Mus musculus: one gene and its partners. The protein of the gene in region 2 interacts with the protein of the main gene of each other region in a pairwise test. Links are inferred from orthologs where the notes say so. Each region holds a gene or a part of one and is shown on either strand. Other genes may lie near its edges. The genes, in order: Comp, Otx1, Rgs17, Chic2, Adamtsl4, Tns2 and Rgs20.

Region 1 (3,328 bases), on a different chromosome or scaffold from region 2:
GAGAACGCCGAGGTCACCCTCACCGACTTCAGGGCCTTCCAGACGGTTGTGTTGGACCCCGAGGGTGATGCGCAGATCGATCCCAACTGGGTGGTGCTCAATCAGGTGTGGCTAGGGCTGGGGTAGCGGTCTAGGGGGGGCCCAGGTGCCGCCTCAGCAAGACCTCCACCACTCGGCGCTGGCCTGAGCCCCTTGTTCTTCTGACCTCACCAGGGAATGGAGATCGTTCAGACCATGAACAGTGACCCTGGCCTGGCTGTGGGTGAGGCGGGGCAGGGCTATGGGGCGTGATCACGGAGGGCTTGGCCACTCTAATCATGGGAAGAGTAGGGCTAAGGGGGTTAGGACAAATGGCAGTTTGTATTGAGTGGTCATAGGTGGGTGGGTCATAGGCCATGGAGAGACGGGGCTGGTTGGTCAGGATCTAGGAAGGGCTGGGTGGGGCCTTTGGGGCATTGCTGTGGGACGTGTGACCCCTGAGAGCTAGGGATTGGAAGTGTCTGAGGATGTGGCCAATGCTATGTTGGGGTGTGGCCTTGTTTGGAGAAGCAGGTCTTGTTTGGAGGGTCAGGGCCTGACTCTGAGGTGTCCAGAGCAAGCATGCTTCTGGAGACCCCCTTCCTCTCCCCTCCTACAGGTTACACAGCCTTCAACGGCGTGGACTTCGAGGGCACATTCCATGTAAACACCGCCACTGATGATGACTATGCTGGTTTCATCTTCGGCTACCAAGACAGCTCCAGTTTCTACGTAGTCATGTGGAAACAGATGGAGCAGACGTACTGGCAGGCCAATCCCTTCCGGGCTGTGGCTGAGCCAGGGATTCAGCTCAAGGTGCTGGCTGGGCTGTGCCCACACACATTATATACTCCTCAGCCTTCACCGCCAATGCCTTCGTAGCCCTCCAGCATTGTCCCATGCCCCTCAAAGTTGTCACCACTCCTCATTCTCGTGCCCAGCCCCCACCCTCCCACCACCATTGCCACGGGGTTAAATCCTCTCAGACCCATAAATACCTTCTCTGGAGGGTCAGAGAAGACACTGCCTTGTTACAGTGCTTGGGGCACACTCAAGGGAACTGGAGTTTGGACCCCCCTGAACCCACCTAAATGCTGGGTATGGATGGTGATCCACCTGTAATTCCAGCCTTGAAAGGTAGAAACAGGATCCCTAGATATACTAGCCACACTGGGAAACCCCAGGCCTTATGGAACAGGATAGAAAAGCTACTTAAGGATGACTCCGACAGCTTCTGCCCTTCGTGCACATGTGCATGCACCCACACAGGTTCAGAAACGTGCATACTCAGAGAGAAAAAAATTGAAGATAGACCCTGTCTCAAAAAAAAAAAAAAAAAAAAGAAAAGAAAAAAGAAAAGAAAAGAAAAGAAAAAAAAAGGGGGGGGGAACTACTCCTTGGGATCATCACATGTCCCTTTGGGCTCCCAAGCCTGTCACAGAGCCCTAGATTTCCCTGGACACCCCAGATCCTCCTATAAACACCTCACAACAGGTCCCCAGGTCTGTAGACCCCAGTTTATCCCAGCAGGCTGCTGCCTCCTAATAAGGAGCCAGGCCCTCTAGATCCCCTAAGGTATCCCTGTATTTGTATTTCCAGAATTCACACAGACTCCTGGCTCCACTACCCACAGTGGTCCAGCCAAGAGCTCTCACTTGCCCTCTTGAAGCAAGGACCTTCCCTATACTCCAACCACTCATAACTCCCACCTGATCTACCAGACAGGGCTCTGATCTGTTTCCTCTCCTGCCTGTGGCAGGCTGTCAAGTCCTCTACAGGTCCCGGGGAACAGCTCCGAAACGCACTGTGGCACACGGGGGACACAGCATCCCAGGTGCGGCTGCTGTGGAAGGATCCTCGAAACGTGGGCTGGAAGGATAAAACATCCTACCGCTGGTTCCTGCAGCACCGGCCTCAAGTTGGCTACATCAGGTGGGCACGGCCCTGCTGCTGCTGAGCTGTGCTTTGCTGCTGCTCCAGGAGAAACGGGCTCCGTTTACAGTACATCATGGTCTTACGGGGAGATGCCAGAACCCCAATACCTCCTATGTACAGGGCACCTGACATACATTCTCACAGAGGGAAACTGAGGCAGGGGCCCCAACACCAGCCCTTATTTTGAGTGGGAACTAAAGATGAAGGGGGTGGCAAGCAGGGAACCCAACCTCAATAGTCCTTTATCACAGGGTGCGGTTCTATGAGGGTCCTGAGCTAGTAGCTGACAGCAATGTGGTGTTGGACACGGCCATGCGTGGTGGCCGCCTGGGTGTCTTCTGCTTCTCCCAAGAGAACATCATCTGGGCTAACCTGCGCTACCGTTGCAATGGTGAGCGAGGGGCCAGCAGGCTGGACCCAAAAGGCTCCAGAAACCTCTCTCACCTGTTGCCTTCCAATCTGCAGATACAATCCCTGAGGACTACGAGAGTCACCGGCTGCAGAGAGTCTAGGGACCAGTGGGGTCCCGCTGCCTGATGGACTGTGGTGGCACAAGCTACGGGTGTGTGTGTGGGGGGGTCTGGCATCCCTCTGAAGGGGTGTCTGGCCTGGGGAGGAGAGGCAAATAAAGTACGTATGTGGGGGACTGGCTGGCTTTGGTCGCTGCTAAAGGGGCACTTTGTGGAGGGGCCTCCAGGAGGCCCTAGGGTCTGTACTCTAGTCACTGAGACTGTCAGGGGCATGCAATTCACTACAGGTGGTGACAGCCCTGGAATATTCTAAGGTAAGAGCAGATGGCTGCCTCCAAGTTTGAGGAACCCCAGTCACTGAATGGCTCAGTGGAAGGTGTTCAAGGGGCTCACACCTATGTGGGGCTCAGCCACAGGAAGATGAGGTAACCTGGAGGGAGATTGGAAAAAGAGGAAGAGGCCCAGACGAAAACATTGGGTTTTTATTACATTTCATTACAAAGGGCGCAAAAATACAAAGAAGCGTCTGCGCCAGAAGGTGGGGCGGGCGGCCGTGCGTGCCCTGAGCAACCTGACCCCCAACTGCGGTGCCCATGCGCACGATCCACAGACATCCGCAGCGGAGTGCGCATGCCGGGGGCAGAGCCAGCCTGGGCACGGGGAGGGGAATGTGGAACCAGCCATTTGCATATATCAAAGGGGCACCCCAGCCCATGGCGTCCTTTTTCCAACTAAGGGGTGAGATGGGGCCTGAGAAACAGGAGCCTGGCCTCTGGAGTTATGGCCACAGCCCTGTCCTCATGTCCCCCTGTGACCAGAAGTGCTGGGTTGGATTAGGCTAGGCCTTACCCCATGTGATGGATCCCTAGCCCCAAGGAAAGGCTGAGTGCAGAAGGGACTGCTGG
Region 2 (2,512 bases):
CACAAGACCTGGAACCGCCACGAGGCTTGGTCCTTATAGTCCAGACAGTCGGGAGAGTTGAAATTGAGTTTCCAGGCAGAGGAAGCAGCGGCGGCGGCGGGCTCCTTGTAATCCAAGCAATCGGCAGAATTGAAGGCGAGCCCAGAGCCTCCATAACCTTGGTGGTGGTGGTGGTGGTGATGGTGGTGGTGGTGGCCTGAAGATTGGCTCAGTGGGTGGTGCGCATGAGGGTGATGGTGATGATGGCCAGCCATGGAGGAGGGTGCCATGGGGCTAAGCTGGTGCGGGTGGTGATGAGAGTGCATGGGCGCTAGGTAGGAGCTGCAGTCTACACCGCCAAAGTAAGAAGAGGAGGGCGCGGGGTATCCCTGACCATAGCTTCCGCCCTGGCCATAGGACATAGGGTAGGAGGCTGCGGCAGTGGCCGCACCTGCGGCTACCGAGCGCTGCATGCACGAGGCGTTGCTCGGAGCGGCCAGTGGCTCTGGCACCGATACGGATGTCGGCGCTGAGCCCGGCGAGATGGAGGCCGGGCTCCAGATGGACGAAGCAGTAGGCGTGCTCAGAGAGGACGCTGCTGCCACTGGGTTCCCACCCAGGCCCGCGGCCGCAGCAGCCGCGGGGTTGGCGGAGGCACTGGACGCTGAGCTAGACGAAGAAGCAGAGCTAGATACGGCGGGCGGCGTGAACTGGCCGCTGCTCTCTGAACCCGAGCTCTCGCGTACTGGAGACGACTTCTTCTTGACCGGCCGGGTTTTCGTTCCATTCCCGCTCTGCTGCTGCTGGCGGCACTTGGCGCGGCGGTTCTTGAACCAAACCTACAGTGAGCAGGGTGAAGGAGAGGGGATCAGGGGGCTGGCTAGTGGAGCTACTCCTCCGCCCCTCGGACTCATACCCCGCCCAGGATCTCGGGAAGCTCTCAATCCCAGCCTCTACCCCTCCCAGTCCCCGGCCCTGCCAGACCCTGTCCCCTCCCCCGCACGTGCTAGGTCCCCAGCTCTGGCTCCCTCCCCCATCCTTCTGCGCAAACCCCTAGTAAGCCTCCTCTGCTGGAGGGATGCGCACCTCCCCAAGCCCAGCGCAACTCTGCCCGAGGGCGGAACATTTGTGTCTGTCCAGCCAGAAGTTCAGCCATCTCTAAGCTGTTGCGGTTGGCTGCTTCCCCGCAGCCCCGTTTTACTTTGGAGGCCCTGTTTTCCTTGAACAGAGCTCAGGAAACAGCAGAGAGATACAGAACATCGAAGTGTAGGTCAGCCACCAAGCCTGGGGCCCGAGGGGTTTCACCGAGTCGGCTCCTGGAGACTGGAGTTGGTCAGGGCGAATATTTGGGTGGGAACAGAAGCAAAGCTAGAGGCTGGACGGAAACAGCACTCCAGTATTGGGGCTTTTCGAGAAGGAAAAGGTGAGATTTCCTTGGGCCTTTTGGCTCCAGGTGGGATACCAAATGGAATGGCAAGTCATAAACTCGCATTCCTAGGAGAAAGTCCGGGCACAGTGCATTGCATTCCCAGACCCTTCTCGAGCCTTCGGGAAAGAAGTTTAAACGAAAGACCGTAAAGAAAGAATTAAACTAAGTCAGAACTCGATTTTTCTGAACGTTTCATCTCAGAAATAGAAAAGCAAGCATCTGGATTTTGCACTCGACGTCCATTCGGCTGCAGAAAACTCCCTAACCAGACAGAAACTGCCGGCGGAACGCATTCCCAGGCAGAGAGCACTAGGCTGTGGCCAAGTTCCATCTTGCACTTTTAGAATCCCCGGGACGAATGGCAAGGGTGTGAAAGAAAGGCCTCAGAGCTAAGGCCTCAGTTCTGTAGTAGCCAAAGAAGCAGACCCTTATCGAACTTTCAGAGAAAGTTACATCCGGGGAACATGGCTGGCCTCCCCCAAACCAAAAACAAAACGACTTTCAATATTGAAAGCGCCCAGGCGATAAGGAATAGATACTGGGCTCTAAGCCATTCCTTTTAATGTTACCCCTTTTATCAGACTTACGCCCAGCGCTAGGGGGAGTTGGAGAGGGGCTGTGCAGTCAGTGAGAGGGCCCCAACATCAGACAGCCTAGGCCAGATCTTTCCAGACCGGTTCCTGCGTCCCTACCCTACCCCTAGAGCCCCAGGAGCGCGCACCTGGACTCTGGACTCTGGCAGGTTGATCTTGAGTGCCACCTCCTCGCGCATGAAGATGTCTGGGTAGCGAGTCTTTGCGAACAGCGCCTCGAGCACGTCCAGCTGTGAGCGCGTGAAGGTGGTGCGCTCCCGTCGCTGCTTCCGCGGGGTGGCTGAGGGGACATGCGAGAGCGCCTGGAGTCAGCGGTGGACCACAAGGACTGGTGCTAGAGGCCACAAGTAAGTCTTCTGGTAGGTTCAGAACCCCCGCCATAGAAAGAAAGGGCCGAGCTCCGAGCAAACGAAAACTCCCCTGGCCACAGGTGGAACAAAGTGTACTTATTCTACTAAAGGCCCCAGTCTAGAACCTTAGGGCCTTCACCCTCTGTACCTCTCATGCGGTT
Region 3 (4,260 bases), on a different chromosome or scaffold from region 2:
TCCTGCAGAAATGGATTCCTATCCCTCTTAGCTCCGCCCTTCTCTGCTGGTGACCACTTTTCCAGGGAGGACCATGCAGTTCAGCAAATGGACTTGGAATGTGGGACCCACTACCTTCCCAGCAGAGCATTCACACCTCGGTTCTTCCTGACTCTCTTCCCTGGGTGTGGCAGCGGAATGCTCACCAACTAGGATGGAGATCATCCATTTTTATTCAGCTGTATAATAAGGCTAAATAAATAAGAGCCGATTTTTGCTTTGTTTTGTTTTGTTTTGTTTTCAAAGTGTCTAGCTCTGGGGTACGAAATTCTAATGAGATTTATTATGAAAAAGTATAAGAAGTCCTTGGGAATGAAGGTGGATTTAGAACATTAACATTATGAGCTTAAATGAACTAAATCCTGATAGGATGGTCCTCCAAATACAAGAAGGGAAGGCCATTTATTTGCTGTAGAAATGAGCACAGACCCCAAAGTAGGGACTAGCCCAAGGAGAAGTTGAGGCACCACAACAAGAAAATAGTAGAAATGGGCAAAATGAACACTTTGCACTGCTGGTTTTAAAGTGAGTGCATTTCTTTATCTTCCAGAGACAATTTCGCAGAGTTAAGAAGGCTGCTGGGATCTGGGCTCAGTTATCACTAAGGAGAGGCATCTCGCTTAACAAAGTGACTCCCGATCTTTTCCTGTAATAATGAACACTTGTTTTCTTAGCTCCAAAACCCCCAATGAACCTGATCTGCGGGCCTTAAATACAGACCTTAAAATTAAATAAATTTATGTCGTCAGGGATGGGCTAATTCCTGGTTTAGTTCATGCTAACAGAAGAAATGGCTTCATAATAGTAACTTAAGAGAAGATCAAACCTCCCAGTTGTGTGTCTTGGTGAGTCTGAATTACCCTTTGGTTAGTTATCCCGGTTAGAGTGCACGCGTTGTATACACCTGCTGTTACTACGACAGACTTCAGACATGCATACGAGGAACTGAAGAGCTTTGCAGTTTGCAAATTCTTTAATACATACAGCATCTAGCAGCTCTGAACCTATGAGAGAAACATCGTCTTCACTGTAGGAGTAAAATTTATTTCTCATTTTGTCAATTAAATGGTTTGCAGAAAGGTTCAACACCCTGAAAACCAGTGTGTCTGAGTGCCGGAAATGCAGATAGAATCCAGTCTCAGAAGTGTTTATCAACTGAGGTTTCTTTTTATCTGTGATAGCCAACCCATGATGGACAGAATCCAGCTGTAACACCCTCCTCCCCCCTAAAAGACAGAAAGAGACAGCTAAAAGCTTGCAAAGTTCTTCAGACAAGACTTAGAAAGATGAATTTACTGAAGGGTCTGTAGGGAGTGGGGCGTGTTGGAAACTCTATGCCCAGAGCCAGGGGCAGGGTTCCTGGGTGACCAGGATCTCCCAAGTGAGCGAGCATTCTCATCTCTCAGTGGAGGAAGAGAACACAGGGTGGTCTTGCGCTAGCATCCTTTAGACCAGGTGACCCCTGCTCAGTCTGTTTTCTGAGTGAGCTGCAAGGACTGCCTGAGACGCACAGCAAGCAGTCTCCTGCTGGCCGGGAGCAGGTCCCCACCCACTGCTCACTGCTCTGTCCTTCCGCCATCCTCAGGTCCTCCGACATTTTCCATTAAGACACAGAGGTAGGATGAAGAGGAAACAACAGGAAAGTGTGTCTGCACCCAGCCTCTGCGGCAGCCAGAGAAAAGAGAGAAGGAGGCAGGCTAGCGAGGAGACAGCTAGAAGCTGTGATCCGTCCATAATCAGGAGAGCCAGATCTCACAGCAAGGGAGTCTGTAATGCACCCAAGCGGGGCAGCGCCTGGGGGCTGGTAGGCGTTCCTGGTCCTCACCCCCTTGGTTGCTGTAAAACAGACCAGGTGCAGAGTACACAAGAACTCGCTTTCTCTGGACTAAAGGGGGTGGGGGAGAAACAAAAGAGACTCTCACCTCTGCACCACACACACACACACACACACACACACACACACACACACACACACACACACACGTACGCGCGCGCGCGCACACACACAGCAGCTGCTCAAGGTATTTGTAAAGACATCACCTGCACCTGAATCTTTATTTTCCCTAAAGGCACCAAAAAATAAAGGGAGAAATGAGACCATCGAGGCAGTCCGCGGCTGAGACCATCTCGATTTATTTTCACCATCGATTCTCTACTAACCAAACAGCTATGAAAAGCCTGGGGACCCCGAACCCCTGAGCGCTCCCCCACCCGCCACCGCAGCACCCTCTCACCTCCTCCAGGTCCCCGAAGGTGCTGAGATTTCTCCCCGCAGAAGCAGGGACACCCGAAGCCGTGACCCGCAGGAGAGCGGTTCAGTCCCTCCACAGAGCCCGGGGACGCGAGTGGACCGGGCCCTGAAGCGGACCACGCGGGATTCAACTTCACGGAGCCGCGGGGCGGTGCTGCCCGCCGAGACCCGCGCGCCCCACTGCTTTATCAGCCAGGGCACAGGCAGCGGGCGCCCCCTCCGCCCTCTCTATCCTACCTCCCCCTCGCCGTGGGGGTGGGGGAGCAAAAGAAGAGAAAAAAAAAATCAAGCCCACCCATCAGTGCAAAGCAGACATTTTCATGTTATTATTTTTATTTTTTTTTATCCTCTCCGGGATTCAGAGGTCGCGTCTTACCGGGTAGACTTAGATGTGGGCGAGAGCTCCGGGGTCCGGGTCCGAGGGTGCTCGAGAGTGGGCTGCTCCGTCCTCTAGCGGAGCAGGCTCCGTGCCATCCGCCCAACTTCAGCACCCGGCGACGGAGAGAGGGAGAGAGGCCAGGATAGAGCAGAGAGGGAGGAGGCTGGGGTGGGCGGGGAGGGAGCGGAGCAGCTTGCAGCGCATGCGTCCGGGAGACAGGCGCAGCCCCTCGCCCCGCGCAGCCGGAGGTGAGGCGTCCTCCCCTCCCGCGGGCGCTCGGATGCGTGAGTCACTGTCGCGTCCCTTCCCGGCGTGCCCGCCCGGCGACAGAGCTCACAGTGTCAGTGTCTCTGTGCCCAGGCGGCTCTGGCGACAGCAGTGGGGGAGGTTCTGCGTTGAGGGTCGGGGTCAGGGGTGCTTCTTGGAGAGAACACACTTTGTGGGAAGGAACCTCCTCCCCCACCCCCCAGTTCACTTTTACCCAAAGCCCATGTATGTTCACCTAGTCCCTGGGACCATGCTTGCAAGCCTCTCAGGCACTCAGGCTCCCTTAGCCTCGGGCTTGCTTCAACCCTCTTGCCTGGGGGATTCAAGAGAAGGTAAAGTTAAGTAAGTTCTAGACTCTGCGTTATTGATGGCTTACCCAGAAATACCCAGGAATCCCTCCAGGCGCTCTCTGGTCTTAGATATGTGTACCCTCTGGGCCACTGGAGCTGGGGTTTTCAGCGAGAGAAACCTAAGGCAGAGCAGGGGTCAAGAACTCTTAGCCTGCCCTTGGTCTTGCAAACTTTATATGCCCCAGTACTACAGGGGAACGCCAGGGCCAAGAAGTGGGAGTGAGTGGGTAGGGGAGCAGGGCGGGGGTCGGGGGGGAGGGTATAGGGACCTTTCGGGATAGCATTTGAAATGTTAATAAAGGAAATATCTAATTAAAAAAAAAAGAAGAACTCTTAGCCCGGTTTGGAAACCTGGGGCCTAAAGCGTCCTTATTGGACCACTTGGCAGTCACAGGAATTGTCAATCTTTCTGCTCACCAGCAGAGCGCAGCTTGGTGGTGAAGGAGCCTAGATGCTTATTGCATGCCAAGTACTAGATTGTGCCTCCTGTGGTTAGGCTGAAGTGTTTCTGAGGGGGAGCGAGGAAAGCAGATATCTTTCTCTTTAGATTTCACATCTGTGGAGATGAGAGAGTTCCCGCGGGAACGACTAGGCTCTTCCCTGACAGCTAATTAGAACTGATTGTTTGTAGATGTCATGACACTCCCCTGCCAGGGGTCCTCCAGTGTGCAAATACTGTTGGCATTCCAGCCCACCTGAGAAAGCCCCACAACTTTCAATTAATATAACTCAGGGTCTTTTTTATTCAGCTACATCTACTGCTTTGGATACTAATACCCTGAAAGTGCACTTTCTTGGAGCCTGTCTACAAACTATTGGTCTGTAATGAGAAATAAATACAGAAGCAGAGTGTGAAATTTGGAAAAATTTCTAGCGATTTACCAGCACCATGGCACCTGGGTGCTTTGCTCAGTTATCCTTGGCAGCTATATTTAAGGGTAATTCATTTTTGTTGTTGGAGATTATGAAAGTTT
Region 4 (4,558 bases), on a different chromosome or scaffold from region 2:
TATAGAATTCTGTATCACCACAAAACAGGGTTTGGCTTTTGCTGACCAAAAGTTGGTTCAAAGTAAAAAGAGAATTAGCTAAATGAACCACGGTTTGGTTTGAAAATGGCAATGTTGAATTCTTAATCTATATTTTACACAAATGTTTCTCAAAGCAGAGCGCCACCTGAGGAGGGTAATAACTAACAAAGGCTAGTGTTTCCTGAGCACAAGACACACACTCACGTATTCTCTGTATACATTATCTCACCCCTTAATCTGGAAAGGTATGAACTAAAGCTGTCATCCTGTGAACTGAGGAGACACAAGTGATTGATTTATATAAAAGTGGCAGAGGAAGGTTACTACCTATCAGAAGTGTCTAAGGGAGGTCACAAACATACTAAGGCTTCCTGCAAAGGTGGCAAACACCACCATCACTAGTGTCTGCAGCAGATTCCGAGGTACAATCAAAACCACCTCCAAGACCTTCCTCCAACCCCATCCAAGCCTATTCATGAACAAGAGCTCCACTCATATGTGGCCACTGGCCTGGAAAAAGAGGGCTGGAACACCAGCGGATGCTCCCCACATGATCTTAATGGGCAGATAAACTAGACTAAATGACTGTTAGTCCTGCAAATGGAAGTACTTTATTTCTAATGCTTATAATAATAAAGGCTAGTAGTTCCTGAGCACAAGCCAGGTGATTCTGAAAGACAAGATGAAAAGACCACTAATAATTACTTCACACACTTGTTAACCACTCCAAATAGTCAACTACAATCCAACTTTCTATCTGAGCACTTTGACTATTCTATTTCCCAACAACATGTTTAGCTTTTCTTCTTCTTGAACAGAAGAGACATGACAACTGCACTTGAACCTTATTTGGTTACTCTGAACCCAGGACAAGCACTCTAACACTGAGCTACATCTCCAGCCCTAGCTGAACCTCTGCAAATAAATTTCTGCCAGCTTTGATTTGACAGGAGGAGTTTAAGGATGACCACAGACAACATGAAAAAGTTCAGAAATCCTTTATGTAGCCCTGAAGACCAGGGGAGTCTGCAACTCACAGATCCACCTGCCTCTGCCTCCTGAGTACTGGGACTATCACTGTGTCGGTTTTTTGTTTGTTTGTAATTGCTTTTAAAAGCACCCATAGTCCTTAAGTTCAAAAGAAAAAGAAAAAAGTCCTAAGAGTTAAACTAAAAATTAAATAGCAGGTTATAACACTAAAAGCATTATGATATACATTTAAACTGTATTATTCATAATTAGCTATATTCCTTAATTAAGTTTGTGTTGACAGTTAAAACAGAGCAGTTATTATGGTGCGAAGTCCCATCTCCTTATCCAGGTACTGAAACAATGCTTATGCAGTGTTTTTACCCTGTTAAATCACCTAAATGCACACGTTAACAGGTGCGAAGACACCAAGGTGTTACATAAGCACACCCCAACAACAACAACAAGGCTAGTCAGGATGACTACACAAGGGCCGATCTTCTGAGGAGCCTCACTGTTTGACCGCCTTGCCCACAGCACGCCCCACTCACCCTACACCAAAAAACAATGACAAGCGCTCCAGACAGCTTCAGGCTCGCTGCCTTTTTCTATCAGTGATAAAGTGATATGCAAGTACAGGAAGTTTGAGCGATGACTTTTCAACTGGAGATAGCAGCTGCAAAGGAGTATCAATACCCTAAGTTGTACAAACTCCGGATTTTATCAGGGAAATGTTACAAAACTTCCTTCTTCCGGACAACTCATTATTTGCCCCAAGTCTACATTCCTTTATTAGTCACGACCTTTCAGAATGCTTTCATCCCTTATTGTTTGAATAATATTGGGACTTTTGATGTTGCTAATAAACCTTACAGGGGCCCTTATCAAAGAAGCCAACCTAGGTCCGTGTCCCAAAACAGACCGGATTACAGGAAACTCGGTACTTGTAATTCCTTGTAAACAGATGTATCCTCCTCTTTTTTTCCGTCCACCTGTATACTTCTATCATACATAATTGACAGCAACTCGAATCAGTTTTGCAGAAATTTACTCTTGAGGAACTGGGAAGCCCCTACGTGTTATGTGTGATAGACACACGACAGTGAATCTCATTTACCAACTGCCACTGGGATCTTAACACCTCAGATCTGACCTCTGAGCCATATGTCAATAGGCTGTAAGTCAGGCAGAGTCCCAAAGAATAACGGGGGTGTGGGGGGTGTTACAAAGATGGATCCCACAAGATGTGTGTGTGTGTGTGTGTGTGTGTGTGTGAGTGTGTGCACCTCTAGCCTGTACCGATGGCCCATCAGGCAGACCCTAAAGAGCCATCTTCCCGGCTGGGACCCCACACATCCCCGCGGGCCACGGGGCCTGCTCCGGGGCTGTGGGAGGGAGGGGAGGCAGTGTCTGTCCCCACTTGGGAGTCCTAAACAAATGGAAGCAGAGCAAGTTCTCACTTCCTGATCGCCGGAGCTTCCCCCAAGGCCCCCGTCCCGCGCCAGTCACCGGGGACGGGGGTTTAAGAAAAGGAGGACCCCCAGGGGTCCCAGGGCCCACCCCGCCCGCGCCTCGCCACCCGTCCTCGTCCTAGCCCTCGCAGGGCCTTACACGGTGACGTGACCGGAGCCGCGGACCACCACCGGGTCGGGCGAGTACTTGAGCAGCTGCTCCTCCAGGGCCCGCTCCTCGTCCTCCTCCTCCTCGTAGATTTCATCGAAATCCGCCATCCCGAGCCGGCGAGCCCCCCGCCCGGGGCCCTGGCTCTGGGGCGGCCGCGGGGAACGGCTGGTGAGGCGGCGGGCGCGGAGGCCGCGGAGCTGGCGCTCGGCAGTGTGGGCTCCGGCTACTGAGGAGACCTGGTCCCGGCCGCCGCCGTTGCCGCCGCCACCGCCGCCATTACCGTGGGCAGGAACAACAACACAATGTCAACATCCGCCGGGGCCGCCACCCCCGCCAGCGCCGCCGCCCGCGCCAGCGCCGCCGCCGTCGCCGCCGCAACTCCGGCAACCACAGCAACAGCCCGAGCCACCCGCAGCAGGAGCAGCCGGCTACCGCATCGCGAGACTTCCCGGGAGCGCGGGCGGGCGCGGGCGTGGGCGCGGGCGCGCGGGTGGGCGGGCGGGCGCGTTCACGCGGACGGTCTCGCGCGCTCCCGGGACGCCGGCCTCTTCCTCCGCTTCCACCCGGCGCGGCCCCGCCCTCCGGCTCCAGGGTCAGCGACCCGGAAGGCGGCGTCTGTGAGGATCGGGGGCGCTGACCCCGACTCGACTCCTAGAGCCAGGCTGGAGTAATCTGTAGCCCAAACAACGACAGCGGGCGAAGCCCCTGGCCGGACCAGAGAATCTGACTGCCGGTTTAATAAAACGTTTTTAGTCCACGATGCGAAGCAGAGTTGGTTGACTTTGCCAACTTGAGATTAACAAAGCAGTGCATTCTCTTTTTTTTTGTTGTTGTTGTTTGGTTTGGTTTGGTTTGGTTTGGTTTGGTTTGGTTTGGTTTGGTTTGGTTTGGTTTGGTTTGGTTTGGTTTGGTTTGGTTTGGTTTGGTTTTTCGAGACAGGGTTTCTCTGTGTAGCCCTGGCTGTCCTGGAACTCATTCTGTAGACCAGGCTGGCCTCGAATTCAGAAATCCCCCTGCCTCTGCCTCCCAAGTGTTGGGATTAAAGGCGTGCACCACCACTGCCCGGCAAACAGTGCTTTCCTGTCTACTGTCCTACCTGATTTTCCAAAATATCTCCAAAGCCAAATATTCTGTCCTTTTAGCCCAGGTTGTTTGTTTGTTTGTTTGTTTGTTAACAAGAAATCTCACCATCAATACTACCTAACAAAGTTGACAAGTTCTCTGTGTTCCAATTAAGAAGTTGCAGTTGTATGCTTCGTCTCTCTAGTGAAAAATGTTTTCTCCACAAGAGGGGATGGGGGAAGGGAGGAACAGTGGACTCATGGATCACCTTGGACCTGGTTTCACAATCAAGAGTCTGCCAAGCATCCAAACAACATAGGAACAGAACTGGACTCCTACGGCAAACTGGACCATGGGGTAACAAGAGTTCCTCATTGGTCTGGAAAGGAAAGAGGAGTTGTACTGGACCCAGTGTCCACAAACAGTTCTCTACGCAGTGTTCGCATCCTTCAAGTTCGTTTACGGGTCTTTGTCCAAGCAGAAAACGTACAAAGGTTAACATGAGAGTGGAAAATGCTGGACAACTTAATCCTGGAAAGATCTGGGGAAAAAAAAAAGGGCAGTGAGCTAGGCAGGGAAAAATAGTCGATGCGTCAGACTTATGCTTTCCCAGATTTATTCATTCAATAAACACTGAACCTACTGTGTGGTCAGCTGTGTGTGTGTGTGTGTGTGTGTGTGTGTGTGTGTGTGTGTCTGTGCGCGTGCACGCGCGACTATGTATGTTACAGTCTCTGGCAGTAACTTTTCTGTCATTAAGGCAAGCAACCATAATTCTCTAGGGGGGTGGGAGTCAGAGGGTATGTCAAAGGCTCCAATGGAGCATACACACAGGAGGCAGCTTAACTTGGTAGTTCTGAAGGCTGACTTTGAATCGCCCTCT
Region 5 (4,595 bases), on a different chromosome or scaffold from region 2:
GACGTCCCTTGTCACTTGCCAGACCCCTTCCAACAGTTCACAGTCCCTTCCTGTGTGCGTGTGTGTCCCCCCCCCCCCCTCTCTCTCTCTCGTGTGTCGTGTGTGTGTGTGTGTGTGTGTGTGTGTGTGTGTGTGTGTTTGTGTGTGTGTGTGTGTGTGTTGAGACAGGGTTTCTCTGTGTAACAGTTCTGAGTTCTGAATGTCCTGGAACTCACTCTGTAGGCCAGGTTGCCCTCAAACTCACAGGCATCCACCTGCCTCTGCTTGAGTTACAGGTGTGCACCGCTACCCTCTGCCCCTTCCCTGCCCTAATGGAGACAGAGCTGGTCCTTTCCACTGCTACCCCTCTTTCTTACCTGCCCAGCCAAGATTCCATTGCTCTTCCTGTGACTGCCCCTGGGCTGGGGAGCAGGGGACAGGGTGGCTACTCTGGCATCGGGGCTTGGAGGGTGCTCTGAGGAGGGAGGAGCATGGCGTTACCCCTCCAGCTATCTGGGGGGACTGAAGGGCTGTCTCAGCACAACACCAACAGCCTGGAGGGGTGGGGGAGGAATGGTCCACCCCTTTAGGACCTAAGGGTGGGAGCAAGAAGGGACGTTGTCTTTGTCATCTGCTAGAGGGTGGGGGGTCTGACCTCAGCCTCTTAGTTCAGTTTAGTCTCCTCCCTATGGCCCAAGATGGACTTAGCTCCTTTGGAGGCTGATGTGGGTGGGGGTAGGGGTTGTGCATAGGCAGCTTGGGCCAGAGCTTCTTTCTCCTAGAGCTCTAGGGCCTAGAGGAGGCAGGCTATGCCAGTCACCCATGAGGGGCCAGCCAGAGGCCTCCGGGCACCAGGGGTGGGGTCACAAGCCTTAATTCCACAGTTGGGATGGAGTTCAAGGGGTTCAGCTTGGGTGATATGGGACCTCTATCACAAAACAAACAAACAAACAACAAAAAAAGGAAAACCAACCTCCTCCCGCTCACAGAACCCAAGAGCATTTGTTTCTTTTCCTTTTAACTAAGCTCCTTACGGAGGACAAGGCTCATACAGGCTGCCCCGGGCATTTTTTTTTGTCCAAGGGATAAACTAAGTGGGTTAATGGCTTCATCTCCTGAGAAGAGGCAGTGACTTATCCTCCCCATGAGTGCCAGCATCCACAAGGCACTGGCTCAGGGTGACTTAGCTCATGTACAACTAGTTTTCTGCTTTTTTTTTTTTCCTTACAATGCTCAGCCAAACTGGGACACCTAAGAAGGAGAGATGTAGCCATAGCAGCCCATGCTTGCCAGGTTCTCCCTCCCGTATCCCTGGAAAGTCCACCCTTAAGTCTAGCTGTAAACACTGGGTAGCAGGGGTCTTCATACCTGTCCTCAAATCTTGTCTCTCCCTACCCCCATCCTCCATTCCCTGCCTTCTCTTTGAGGCCCCGCCTACCCACATCCTCATCCCATCTAAGTTCTGCTTTCCAGGAAAAACACTGTTTCTGCTGCCTTTGAATGGCACCATGAGAAGAATCCAAGGATCGCTGGCCAAAGTAGGCCAGATCAGGGCATGCAAAGGACAGAGAGGGGGGCAAAGCTAGGTCCTGCTCCCCCTCCCTGGGACCCCAGGGCTTGGGAATTTGAGGAGGAGACCAAATGGGCTGAGCTGAGTTCTTGGAGCTAGGGAGGAGGTAAAAGGCACCACGTCCTTCTTCAGTTGAGCCAGCCACTGAATCTACGACTTCCCTGATGGACGAGTGGCCCTGTTCAACCCACTCATCAGCCCTCTGCCTGCCCAGTGAGGCTGGAAGGATGGGGGGTGTGTGTGATGGACACAACCTGTCTGATGCTGGTCCCCTCTCCACCTCCCTCTGCGCCTCTCTGCTCCTCCAGTCTGTCCCTGATGCCTCTCCGTGGTCTACCCAGTACACATAATCCTGTCCTGAGCTGGTTTTGGCAGCTCTCTGGAGAAGTGAGGGGTGGGGGGTGACGAGAACTCCTGGGGCTAGGGCCAGGCCTGGCTCCCTCTCTGGAAAAGTCCACCCCACCCTCCCCTGCATAGGGGAGCAGGAGCCGACACCCCCCCCCCCCCCCGCACAAATGTATGTTTGTCCTTTCTCCACGCCCAGGGTGAGGAAAATGAGGTTGGAAGTGGGCATCCTGAAGTCACGGTGGACCCTGGCTGAGCACAAACCTATGCTGCTCCTGGTCACACCCCCTTGTGGGCCAGTGACACCAAGGAAAGTGACTTGCAGGGTGCTAACCCCTTCACCCCAGGCTCACTTCAGGCAAATGAGCCAATGCAGAGTGGACGGGTGGAGGGAGGGTTAGTAAGGGCTGGGCTAGCAGAGGAGAGATGCTGTCCTGTCAGAATGCCAGGGTTTTCACGGCATCCCCCCCCCCCCAAACATCCCAACAGGTGTCTTTTCCCTCAACCTCTCACAACAGATTGAGTTGTGCAAAGAGCACTCACCCGCATCCCTCCCGGACACCCTATCCCTGCGTTCCCAGAGTACAGGCGTCTGGTCGCATCTTCCCGAAGCCCCTCAGGGAAGAGCCGGCTGTGCCGGCGTGCAGGGAGGTCCTGGGTATGTTTTCCAACTTCACTATGTGACTTAATAGGAATCTTGGCACAAGCCCTCGCCCGGGTGATGGGACTCGGAGTCCCAGGGACCAGACCCCCTCCCCAGGAATTCGCCTTAGGGTCCGCTGTTCTGAGACAGTCAGAGCCCAGGCGGGGGGTCGGGGAGGTTCTACCTTCTCTGCGCCCGCTCTCTCCAGCTGCCTCTGGTAGTGGCCACCGCGGCCCGGAGCCCCAGGACAGCGCCGCCCGCGGCAGGCTCCGCCCCACGCCACCCGTGCCCCGCCCGCCACGCGCCGGACTCAACCACCCACCCCGGGTGCCCCGTACAGCTAAAGAGCTTGCAGCCACGCTGTGGACACGGTTCCCGCGCCCGCCCCGGGGCTCGAGACCCCACCAACTCTGGCAGGCTCCTTTTGGTTGGAGCCTGTCCTCGAAGAACCTGGGCTAGCCCCGAACCAGCAAGGGGATTTGCAAACTAGACCCATGTAGCCCTGAGCAAACTCAGATCTGCTCAAGCCAAGGCCCTCTCCTCCATGCAGCCAATGCCATCGCCTCCGCTTTTCCCATACTGGGCAGTGAACCATGTGGCTCTGATGGCCAGGGACCTCTCTGAGCCTCGGTTTCTTCATCCATAAAATTTTACACCCTGGAGCTTAGCGGGAGGAATGCACGCTGAATTATGAGTCAGACAATTTGGATTTGAATTTCAGCTTGAGCACTTGCCAGCTCTGTGGTCTTTCATGAGCACTTCAACTTCAATGCGGCAGTGTCCTCTGTAGAATGGGAGAATTTGATGTGTATATTAGGCTTGGAAATGTTTATCCATCTCCATGTGGAAGAATGACTGAGGAGGGGTGGGGAAGGGATGAAAACAGCTTTCAGTTTTTATGCTTTTTATTCTATTCATATGTCTTTTAATGGATTGTTGGTTTGTTGTTTGTCTTTGAGGCAGGGTCTCGGTAGCCCTGTCTGGCTTGAACTGTGTAGACCAGGCCAGCCTTCAACTCATGGAGATCCACCTGCTATTGCTTACTGCAGTGTTGGGATTAAAGGCCTGCCTATGCCTTGCCTGTCCAACCTCGTAACTTCTTTGAAAAACAAAAACGTATAGGTTGTTCGATACTAGACTGGTCTTCAGGGTGAATTCCAGCTGAGGCTGGGCGGGGGGTGGGGGTGGGGGAGAATATATAGGGAATGGTAGTGCATGTTTAGCACTTGGGAGGCTGAGGCAAGAGAGGGGAACCACTGGTTCAAGACCAGCCTGGGAAATCCAGCAAGTTCTAGGGCAAGCTGGGCTACAGAGTGAGACCACCCTAGTTTCAACAATGAAATACCAGAGCAAGGTTAGAGAGATGGCTCAGCCATTGAAGGCCAGGCTCACCACCAATGTCAAGACACTCAAATACAGAAGTTGTAGCAACATATTGTCTTGCAACCCATAAAACAACAGAGGGCCCTGGTGCCCCCGGCTAATGTTTCCTAGTTTCTTGGCTATATGTTACACTTTGTGCTGAGGGCACAGAAGCTAGTTTAAGTCCTTAAGTCTCCAAGTCTAGTTTGAACAGATCCTGCCAGTGAGAAATGATCACTTTGGAGCTGACATGTTAACTGTGGAAGCAGGGTCTATCCCAAGGCAGTGGGTGTGTATATAAAACAGCCCTATGTCTGGGGGTGTAATAATGCGCTGAAGCAGAGCTTTGCATGCAGGATGCTCTGGGTTCTGTCCCCAGCCGTTCCCAGCACTGATCAAGGCAGAAAGATATTATTTGTTATTTAGACAAGGTCCTGCCACGGTAGGGCCGATTGACAGGAAACTTGCTATGGAGCCAAGCTGACCCCAAATTTGAACTTCTCTTGCTTAGCCTGAGTCTGGGATACAGTATTGGGATGATCCAGATTTTAACTTTATTTGAAATTTAACATGCACTTTTTTTTTTTGGTTTCTCAGCAAATCCTCCCACTCTCTTAGGACAAGCACCTCCACAAGGGGTCTCTCCTTAACCTTCCTCAGTTCCTGTGTCTGGTCCTGAAGAGCCTGGGAAAGCAA
Region 6 (4,246 bases), on a different chromosome or scaffold from region 2:
ACCGTTGAGACCCCACCCATGGGCACAGAGCTCCCCCAAGCTAGCTTGAGGCCCTGGGACTACCCCCTGCACTGATGGAGCACCAGGAACGTTCCTCAGAGATGCAGGGCTACCTTAGGTTCTCAGTGGACAGCGGGTACCAGCTACAGGGTATTATACCTGAACAGGCTCAGCTTTCACTACCCAGGATGAGACCAACGCAGGCATCCTGAGGACCCTTTCCTCAGAGGGAAGGCACCTCCCATCAGGGTGCCTGGTCTCTGAAATCTTGCTCCCTCTCTATCCACCCCGCCCTTCCTCCCCCCGCAGCCACCCCCCCTCATCCTCTCGCCAGCTGCAGCCTGGGCACAGCACCAAGACAAACGCTGTCTCACTGTCCACCCTCCTGGGCCAACCCTCCAGGGGTGGAGTAGGGTGTTTCTTAAAGAGCCCAACACAACACCCCTGCCACCCAGGAAGGGGTGTCCAGGAGTGAGTGACAGGGGACAGGGTGACATGGTGGCCCATGCCAGTGAGGCTGAAGATGCCTGTCTGGACAGGGAAAGACACCATCTCCCCATTAGATAGAACCACATACTCACCTTTGCTTCACATTTTCTGTGTGTGGCCACCTTGCAGACTAGAGAGAGAAAGGGTAGAGGTTAGCAGAGGCTTACGGGAATAGTCAAAATAACTGTGCTCCAGCCCCACAGGCCTTAGAAGCCAGCTCTGGGACCCTGGTACACTAGGTTACTAGGAGTTGAAGAACAGAGCTGGTTATCAACAGGTTCTGCTCTGGAGTAAGGGAAGAGGGCCGGGGGTTGGGGTCTAGGATGAATAGAGGTGAGGAGGGGAAAGAGGAAGAGGAGGAAGAACAGTAGGAGGAAGAAGAGGAGGAAGAAGAAAAGGATGAGGAAGAAGAAGAGGAACAGGAAGATGAGGAGGAAGAGAAAGGGGAGGAAGAGGAAAAAGAGGAGGAGGCAGAAGAGGAAAAAGAGGAGGAGGAAGAAGAGGAAAAAGAGGAGGAAGAAGAGGAAAAAGAGAAGGAAGAGGAAGAGGAAGAAGAGGAAAAGGAGGAGGAAAAGGAAAAAGGAGGAAAAAGAAGAGGAGGAAGAAGAAAAAGAGGAGGAGGAAGAAGAAGAGGAGGAGGAGCAAGAGGAAGGGAAGACCCTAGTCACAGGTAAGGATGGGAAGGTGGTAGAGTCACAAATCTCCTGGGCTGTGGCAAGGTGGGTGTCAAGAAGAGTGAGGGCATTTGTTTCTGAATTTGCCTGTCTCTAGAGCCTGAGCCACACAGAAGTGCTGCCTGGAGGGCTCAGGCACCAAGAGCACCACCTCACCTCGGCAGGAGACACCGGTCCCATCGATGGTCACCTTACACACTGCACACACTGGAGTTTTCTTCCGGAAAACCTTCTCCCGGAAGCTGTGTGGTTCTGCTTTCCTCGGCTGCGGGTGGGATGACAGACAAATAGGGGTATGTGTTCCTAGTGGGCTCATCTCCAAGGCTGGGCAGGGACCTTTCCTTAGAGCGATGCTGCTTCCCTCTCTTCCAGCCAAAAGTCTGTGAACTCTAAGGCACACTTGGCCACAGCTGTTTCAGGGTAGTCATGAGGCCTGTCCTCTACAGGGCTTGGAATGTGACCCCTTGCGTCACCTTGGCTGGGTCAACTCCTCCCTAAGGGTTCACTCAGGACTTCTCACGTGGCGGAGCTATGTGATGTCCTTGTCACACACACCCCCACTTCCAATGTGAGGGCTTTCTGAATCTTGGCAGAGTGGGGGGTCTGACTCTCCTCCCATCTTGCCCTCCCCACAAGAGGCTTGTATACTGTGAGCTGACGGCCAGGACACACAAGCACTATCACATAATACCCAGACTGACTGCAGCCAGTTCTGAGCCCCTGGCTCTCAGTGTCCCCAAGCTCCAGGCAGCTAATATGACCCCCTCCCCCACGGTCAGAACAACATGTTTACTCTCTGTGCACTGAGGCGGCAGGCAGCAATTGTCTAAGACGTTCGCTCGGAAGGAGGAATAGCAGTGGGGACACACAGGCAGCTGCCTCGCTGCCTCTGCATGTTATGACAGGGGTGGCCAGGTTCTCCGGATGCCCCCTCCCCACCCAGAGGTAGTGAGGTCAGTGGCTGGCTGGGCTGCCACCAGTTGTCCAGGTCCCCCTTAGTCCCTACTCACTGCAAGTTTTCACTGCAGTTCTGACCCCTCCCACCCCAGTTCATCCCTCCTATCTAGAGTCTGTGGACAATCTCCCTCACTCCTCCCACCACTCCACTGCACATTCTTCACCGCTGTGTGTTCAAGCTCCCGCTGTCCCCTCCTCTCCCTGGATCTGCCCACCGTAGTGTGAAGAGGAGAATAACATGGGAGCAGCGTTGGTCCCTTAACGACTGGGGGCGAGACCCACCAGGACACTTGGACGCACTTGTGGATGATGACGTCGTGTGCAGATGACGTCAGTAGAAGGCACCCTCCCTTCCCTCATTGCCTTCTTCCCATACCTTTTCCCTCAAGCTTCCCCCGGAGGTCAGGGCTTGAGCTCTTAGCTGAACCCTCGGGGCCTATCCAGGCTCAAGCCAGGAAATACACAGAGAAGTCAAAACAGATGCTAGAATCACACTGCTACCCTACCCTAGCCACCTCAGGGGGTCAGGCGAAAGAAAGAGGAGGGGGATGCTGAGCCAGCCAGGAGAAGAGGCTGAAACTAGGAAGAGGGTCTGGTCTGGCCTGAATCCTGGCCCTCCCGCCTTGTCCGCACCTCCACCCTGCCCCACCTTTGCCCAGCTGGTGGGCACTCCTACCCTGCTGGTGGCCCGGCTGCTGTCCCTCCTCCCCAGGGCTCTGAGCAACCTTTCCACAGGGCCGCTGGACTTCATGGTGTCTGGCTGGCTGGACTCTTGGCTGCAGGGCCTGAACAATGCTGGGGCCTGGCCTGGGGCTTCCTGGAAGCAGCCTGCCGAGGCAGCCGCTTCCCTTGGGTGGAGGGGAGGCTGTCTGGCTGGTGTGTGGAGAAGCCTGGCCCTGGAAGTGGAGGGAAGTGCAGGCGGGAAGGGGGCAGGTCGCTGCTCCAGGAAGTGGGGTGGGGGAGGATGTGGGGGAGGCCAGGAGATCAGATTCCCAGGATCTACCCTGCTGGGAGTGTCAGCCTAAGATCTCTGGCTCTCCCCATCTCTGGAGCTGCCTCCCACCCAGTGGGCCACTGTGTGCAGGGGGTCTGCAGTCCTGAGATCCAGCCCTGGAATCAGCCAGTGGCACAGGGTGGGAATTCAGGTCTCAGGGCAGGGCTCAAGGGCCAGTGGAGAACACTGTGTCCCCGGCCAGTCTCTAGCCTGAACCCTCATGCTCCCTTGGGATTTCCTGTGGGAAGGGAGTGTTGCTGGGAACCAGTACCCCTGACAGCCCAGCACTCCACATCCTCAGGGTGAAAGAAAGTTAGGGATGAGGGCTAACTTCCCTGTCAGACGGGAGAAGGATCTTATAGTACCCTCCTCAACGCCAAGTTCCAGCGGGAAGGGCTAAGGGCTTACAGGAATGGTCCATCTTGCTGTAACCCAAAGCACTGGAGGTTCCTCCTGAACACCCCAGCTGCTCCTCTCCAGATACAACCCACAGTTCCTGGCTTAGCTCCCAGATCCTGCACCTGAGGTTCTACTGGGGACCCCACCCGCCCACCAGAATCTGAGCGCTACCTTCATGGCTCTTCTGGCCTGTCTCTCCTTCCTCTGTGGCTGTCACTGGACCCGAGGACTGGACAGGAGGCCCCCTCCCAACACATACTCCACCCTCTCTAGGGCCTCCTGCTTCCCTCCTGGGAATAGGGCCAACTTCCTGTCCCAGGAGTCAAGGGAAGGAGGTGTATGGGGCCCTTGGAAAGGATGGAACAACCTTCCTACAACAAGGGTCAACAGCCTGGGGGTTCCCAGCCCAAGCTCTAGACAGCAGCCTTTGGAATGCTGTAGCTAGCTGTCATTTGAAAGAATGTACACCGTGTCACCCTCATTTGCATGGTATTTACTGAATGTCCCAGTGCAACTCCTCCAGTTCTGGCACCTCTTGCAGGGTCCCACAGGACTCTCCTCTTTCTGCCTCACGCCCATCTGACAGATGAAGGGCTGCTCTAGTCCTCCCCAGGGATCCTTCAGAAGACCTGTCAGACTGAAGAGTCTGAGGCCTCTTCCCGCTGCATGCCTGTTCTCTAGGAAGCCCATCGTTGCCAGTGTACCCTGGCTAGAAGGCCCTGTGAGTGGCAAG
Region 7 (4,292 bases), on a different chromosome or scaffold from region 2:
TTCTCAGTGTAGTTTGTCAGAGCTATGAGGAAAGAGCCAGAATTCTAGTCTTCCTTCAGCCGCTCACTAGTTGAAATCCTAAACTCTCTGAATGTTTCCTCATTTGTAAAATGAAGAAGGTCGAAGAAGTAATCATAATCATCCTATATTTTATATGATAGATAGCTTTTGGGGTGAATTGTTTAGTATTCTTCAAAATGTTTCTTAAATAAAAGATCAAATACCTCACTTCAGTATTTATATTGGCTATTTTATAAATGCCATGATTTAATGTGTAATTCTTTAAATGTATATTTGGTCAACAAAAGGAACTCTTTTCCTGATTGTCTGAGACAAGGTCTCATGTAGCCTAGCCTGGCTCTGAATTTGCTATGTGAGGGAGAATGGCTTGAGCTTCCGATCCTCTTGTGTGTTGGGATTACCTTCATGGACACAACAGAAGTTTACACAGCGCTGGGGCTGGAACCTGGGGCTTTGTGCATTTAGACAAGTGCTCTATCAACTGAAATATATATCTAGCCCCCATAAACCCAACTCTTTAAAGCACTTAATCATTACTATTGGGATCTTGTTTGTTTGCTTGGTTGTTTTTGTGTGTGGTGTATTGGAGGGGTGGTGAAGACATGGTTCACAAGGAGGTCAGAGGACAGGTTTGTGCAGTCAGTTCTTTCCTTCCACATTTACATGTGCTTTTGGGTGCCTGGATTTAAATTTAGGTCCTCAGGCTTGCACACTAAGTGCTTTACCTGTTGTAACATCTCACCAAATCCAACTCTTTTTAAAGAGAAAAGTTCTCTTCAAATTATGTTAGATGCTTATATGCAAATATCTCTTATTTATCCACAAAGGGTCCAGGGATAGAGAAATGAATTGTATTTAAATTTAGGAATTGAGAGAAAACATTTACTGCTTCATGCTTTTGATACCAAAACCCTTTTTAGTGTGTAAACATATTGTTTATAGCATATGAAAACAGGCATCATGCTATTGATCTTTATATTCCTTTTTTTTTTTTGAGAAAGAATGACAATATGTAGCTCACTTGATCTCAAGTTCTATATTTTCCTTCCCTAGCCTTGGGAGAGCTGGGGCTAGTGATGCATCCATACTTATATGTTCATAATGTCTTTAGATTTTGAACTCCACTAGGCCCATGTTGCATCAATATAATAACAGTAGGAACAGATTTTTTATTTACAAATTTTATATCTATGCATGAGTGCCTGCATATATGTGGGAACACTACAAGTATGCCAAGTGCCTGCTGAAGCAAGAAGAGGAGACTGGATCCCCTAGAACTAAGGCTACAGGTTGTTGAGAGTACATTCGTTTAACCCATGAGCCGTCTGTCTGTTCAACGATTTGACTAGTTTTTACATAGCACGAGCCCAGAAATTGTGCTGTATTAACCTGCAGTGGCGAGTGGGCGCCAAGGCCATTCAGCCAGCTATCTGGCTGTGAAGTCTTGGAAACCCACAAGAGGGTGGCCTAGAACACAGTCTCTGGAGAGGATTTCCTTTCCAGCACTCTCAGGACAGAAACCCTCCTGCACCACCACTTTCTTCACGCTGTGGCTCTGTTCTCCACCTGAGGGCGCAGAGGCAGCAGTTGCTATGGCCAGAACCCCCTTGCCCGCTTTAGCCCCACGTCCATCAGCAGTTGTGTGAGTGTGGCTAGCTAGCTCTTCTTGCCCAGGTTTTGCTTGCTGCTTATGGACTCGAGGAAGATCCTGACCCAGCCCAGCCCCAGAGAGCCCACCTCTCCCGCGCTCCACCTTCACACCTTCAGACCTGCGCGGTCGCAGCGCCTGTACCCTCCCCAACGCCCACCTTCGGTCGCCCACTCCCTAAGTGTGGAAATCCTTCAGCGCATTGAAACGTCTCCCCAAACACCCACCCCACCCCCGCGTGTGCCGCTTCCGAGGCCTCTCCCTTACCCACTCCCCTGAAGCAGTAGGTGGGGTTAGCCACAGATCTCCGAAAGAGCACACCCTTGTCCCAGGGAGCTGTCTCCCTTTAGGCTCCTTGCCAGCCCAGTTTCCCCAAGTCTGAGGGCACCATCATACAAAGACCCGACTCCCCATCGCTCACCTCCGCGCAGCCTCTCTGCTTCCTACCCGAACCTTCAGTCGCTGCAGCCTCGGCACGTCCTCGGGTTCCAACCTCCCGAGCCCCCCGAGTGTGGGAAATCTAGCTCCCAGGCCCGATAAGGACAATCCCCACCCTCTCTCCCTTAAGTGACTGTTCGGTCTACTCAGTTGTCTGGTGTTGCTGCCCGCAGCGCTCCGGGCGCGGTCTGAGCGCCTACTTGAAGCTCAGCTCCGCCAGCCGGCCTGTGATGCGCTTCTCTGAAAGGGAGGTAGTGCGTTCCGGGAGTGTCACCTCCTCAACCTGCGCTCAAATTGCCCGCCCCGGGTCCTCAGACCGAGGCGCATCCTTCCCCCAACTGAGAGAGAGCCGAGACTCTTCCACTCGCTTGGGCTCTCCCAAATGCTTGGCATGTCTGATGTGCACTTTAGACCTTAATGGCATTTTTCGTCCCTCGCTGAGTCTCAGAGTCCGGACCACCTGCTTGGTGGGTCTGATAATAACCGATCACAATGGTTCGGAGCCTTCCCTCAGACAATGAGATGTTCCGAACTCACAACCCACTCGCCTCAACTGACTAACCCTAAGGGCGATGACCAGCCAGGGATTGCACCACCGGGCAAGGAGAGACTGGCGTCCCAGGTTCCTCGAGCTCCTTCTACTGCCAGGTCCAGGGCTTCGGGGGGGGGGGGGGGCAGGGAGTCAGAGAGGAAGACGAGGAGGACGCCAGGTACTTACCAGGCCAGGGTCCGCTGGGCTAGCCGAAGGGGAAGCTCTGGCCCTCGGGCCTCCGTTGGCCGTGCGCATGCGTCCAGAGTGTGCCTTAGTTTTCTTACACTAGTCAGAGCGGTTCCTACTCCGCCCGCGCTGGCTCTCTGCCACCCGCCCTTTCCTGCGTTTCTGGGTCTAAGCTCCGGAGCTCTTCTCTCTTCCTCCTCCTTTCCCTTCTCTGACTCCTCTCCGCCCCGGCGCTCGCTCGCTTTCCTGGGGCAGGGCAATCCCCTGGCTCGCCTCCTTCTGGCGGCAGCACGCAGCACTCGGAGGCTGGGGGTACTCCCTAGTCCCAAATCGGGCGAGCGGAGCCCCGGTCCTGGCTCCTCTCTTATAATCGCAACGAAATAATGGGTGCGGCGGGAGCGAGCTTTGAGGGTGCCTGTAAGGCCCTTTCTCTTTATCCCCTGGCCTTAGCTTGCGGGGGACGCCGTGGGGTGGGGGCGATCCAGAGTTTGTGAATGAGTACTGGGGCCTTGTGAATGAAGAGATGCTTGGGGGTACGGGGAAAGGTCGCGAGAGGAGCTGGTGCTTTGTACCCCGGGTCTCGCGCCTGTGAACTGCCCGCCCCTGCTGGACAATCCCCACTGAACCCTTTGACCTCAGCGCCACTAACATCCGCCCCCAACTCTCTTTGTATAGCCTTTCTAAGAGATCTGTTCTCCCACTCTAAACAGTGGTCCTACTCAGTTCCGGCCAGCCAGCCAGAGTCGGATGGCCCCACCTGGCGATTGGGATGGCAGGGTGGAGTGTATGTAAGAAAGCCTAAGCCGGGACTCCGGTCTCTCTCAGTCCCTCGGCAGTCTCCCTTTCTTTTGCGACTCAGGCGGTGGGAGGGGAAGCCCCGGGCATTTGCAGAACCTGGCGCCTACCTCTGAGGATGCCCCTCGCCCGGGTCGCCGCAGCTAGCGAAGTAACCCTTGAAGTGAACCCCTGGGGCAGTGCGCCTGAGCTCGGAGGGCTAAACTCAAGCAGCAAAGTGACCTGACACAAAAATAACATCACGTCATTTCCTCCCTCTTCCTGGGAAGAGGAGTGGGGGCATGAACGCGGCTGCGAGCGGTTACAAAGTGCGGGGATGCTTGGGGAGGCTCGAGGGGAAGCTGCAACTACAGTTGGAAAAGATCTTCGGAGGCGTCAGAGGGCTTCCTCTTGCTTCCTAGGATGGTAGAAACAGAACAGATCGCTTGGGAGAAAGTAGCTCTAATGCCTCGGTGGAGGTGGGAGTGTCCGGGAGCCTCAGGTGCCCTTTCCTCCAGTGTGCCCAGCGCTGTGCCAATCTTTCAGTATCCAGGCCAGCCCGGGTGGGCTGGGTCAATCAGGATTAGAGCGAGTGGGAAAGGCTGGGGCCTCCAGAAGCCGAGGGTGGGTTTAGTGGAGTTCCCAGTACTCACGGACTCGGGTGAACTCTTTTCAGTACAGGCGTCCTCTCCT

Evidence for each region.
Region 1: the proteins of Otx1 (region 2) and Comp interact in binary tests that used the Homo sapiens proteins (3 or more experiments, as listed by UniProt). The two-hybrid records come from large-scale screens. The link is inferred for Mus musculus from reciprocal best matches to the Homo sapiens genes OTX1 and COMP.
Region 3: the proteins of Otx1 (region 2) and Rgs17 interact in binary tests that used the Homo sapiens proteins (3 or more experiments, as listed by UniProt). The two-hybrid records come from large-scale screens. The link is inferred for Mus musculus from reciprocal best matches to the Homo sapiens genes OTX1 and RGS17.
Region 4: the proteins of Otx1 (region 2) and Chic2 interact in binary tests that used the Homo sapiens proteins (3 or more experiments, as listed by UniProt). The two-hybrid records come from large-scale screens. The link is inferred for Mus musculus from reciprocal best matches to the Homo sapiens genes OTX1 and CHIC2.
Region 5: the proteins of Otx1 (region 2) and Adamtsl4 interact in binary tests that used the Homo sapiens proteins (3 or more experiments, as listed by UniProt). The two-hybrid records come from large-scale screens. The link is inferred for Mus musculus from reciprocal best matches to the Homo sapiens genes OTX1 and ADAMTSL4.
Region 6: the proteins of Otx1 (region 2) and Tns2 interact in binary tests that used the Homo sapiens proteins (3 or more experiments, as listed by UniProt). The two-hybrid records come from large-scale screens. The link is inferred for Mus musculus from reciprocal best matches to the Homo sapiens genes OTX1 and TNS2.
Region 7: the proteins of Otx1 (region 2) and Rgs20 interact in binary tests that used the Homo sapiens proteins (3 or more experiments, as listed by UniProt). The two-hybrid records come from large-scale screens. The link is inferred for Mus musculus from reciprocal best matches to the Homo sapiens genes OTX1 and RGS20.

The regions. Positions count from the first base shown.
Region 1 is NC_000074.6:70,379,468-70,382,795, forward strand, and holds the end of Comp (cartilage oligomeric matrix protein precursor), read left to right. Parts: coding exon 1-105; intron 106-213; coding exon 214-262; intron 263-637; coding exon 638-834; intron 835-1,777; coding exon 1,778-1,950; intron 1,951-2,204; coding exon 2,205-2,344; intron 2,345-2,418; coding exon 2,419-2,465; 3' UTR 2,466-2,599; downstream 2,600-3,328. UniProt on the Homo sapiens protein: Plays a role in the structural integrity of cartilage via its interaction with other extracellular matrix proteins such as the collagens and fibronectin.
Region 2 is NC_000077.6:21,996,241-21,998,752, forward strand, and holds part of Otx1 (homeobox protein OTX1), read right to left. Parts: intron 2,349-2,512; exon of another isoform or gene 2,282-2,348; coding exon 2,130-2,281; intron 819-2,129; coding exon 1-818. UniProt on the Homo sapiens protein: Probably plays a role in the development of the brain and the sense organs. Can bind to the BCD target sequence (BTS): 5'-TCTAATCCC-3'.
Region 3 is NC_000076.6:5,919,562-5,923,821, forward strand, and holds the start of Rgs17 (regulator of G-protein signaling 17), read right to left. Parts: upstream 2,840-4,260; 5' UTR 2,667-2,839; exon of another isoform or gene 2,274-2,666; intron 1-2,273. UniProt on the Homo sapiens protein: Regulates G protein-coupled receptor signaling cascades, including signaling via muscarinic acetylcholine receptor CHRM2 and dopamine receptor DRD2.
Region 4 is NC_000071.6:75,041,579-75,046,136, forward strand, and holds the start of Chic2 (cysteine-rich hydrophobic domain-containing protein 2), read right to left. Parts: upstream 3,064-4,558; 5' UTR 2,721-3,063; coding exon 2,602-2,720; intron 1-2,601.
Region 5 is NC_000069.6:95,685,100-95,689,694, forward strand, and holds the start of Adamtsl4 (ADAMTS-like protein 4 precursor), read right to left. Parts: upstream 2,819-4,595; 5' UTR 2,722-2,818; intron 573-2,721; exon of another isoform or gene 455-572; 5' UTR 377-454; coding exon 357-376; intron 1-356. UniProt on the Homo sapiens protein: Positive regulation of apoptosis. May facilitate FBN1 microfibril biogenesis.
Region 6 is NC_000081.6:102,101,712-102,105,957, reverse strand, and holds the start of Tns2 (tensin-2), read right to left. Parts: upstream 3,025-4,246; 5' UTR 2,872-3,024; coding exon 2,797-2,871; intron 1,429-2,796; coding exon 1,320-1,428; intron 620-1,319; coding exon 582-619; intron 1-581. UniProt on the Homo sapiens protein: Tyrosine-protein phosphatase which regulates cell motility, proliferation and muscle-response to insulin. Phosphatase activity is mediated by binding to phosphatidylinositol-3,4,5-triphosphate (PtdIns(3,4,5)P3) via the SH2 domain.
Region 7 is NC_000067.6:5,016,486-5,020,777, forward strand, and holds the start of Rgs20 (regulator of G-protein signaling 20), read right to left. Parts: upstream 3,055-4,292; 5' UTR 2,895-3,054; coding exon 2,826-2,894; intron 2,250-2,825; exon of another isoform or gene 2,091-2,249; intron 1-2,090. UniProt on the Homo sapiens protein: Inhibits signal transduction by increasing the GTPase activity of G protein alpha subunits thereby driving them into their inactive GDP-bound form.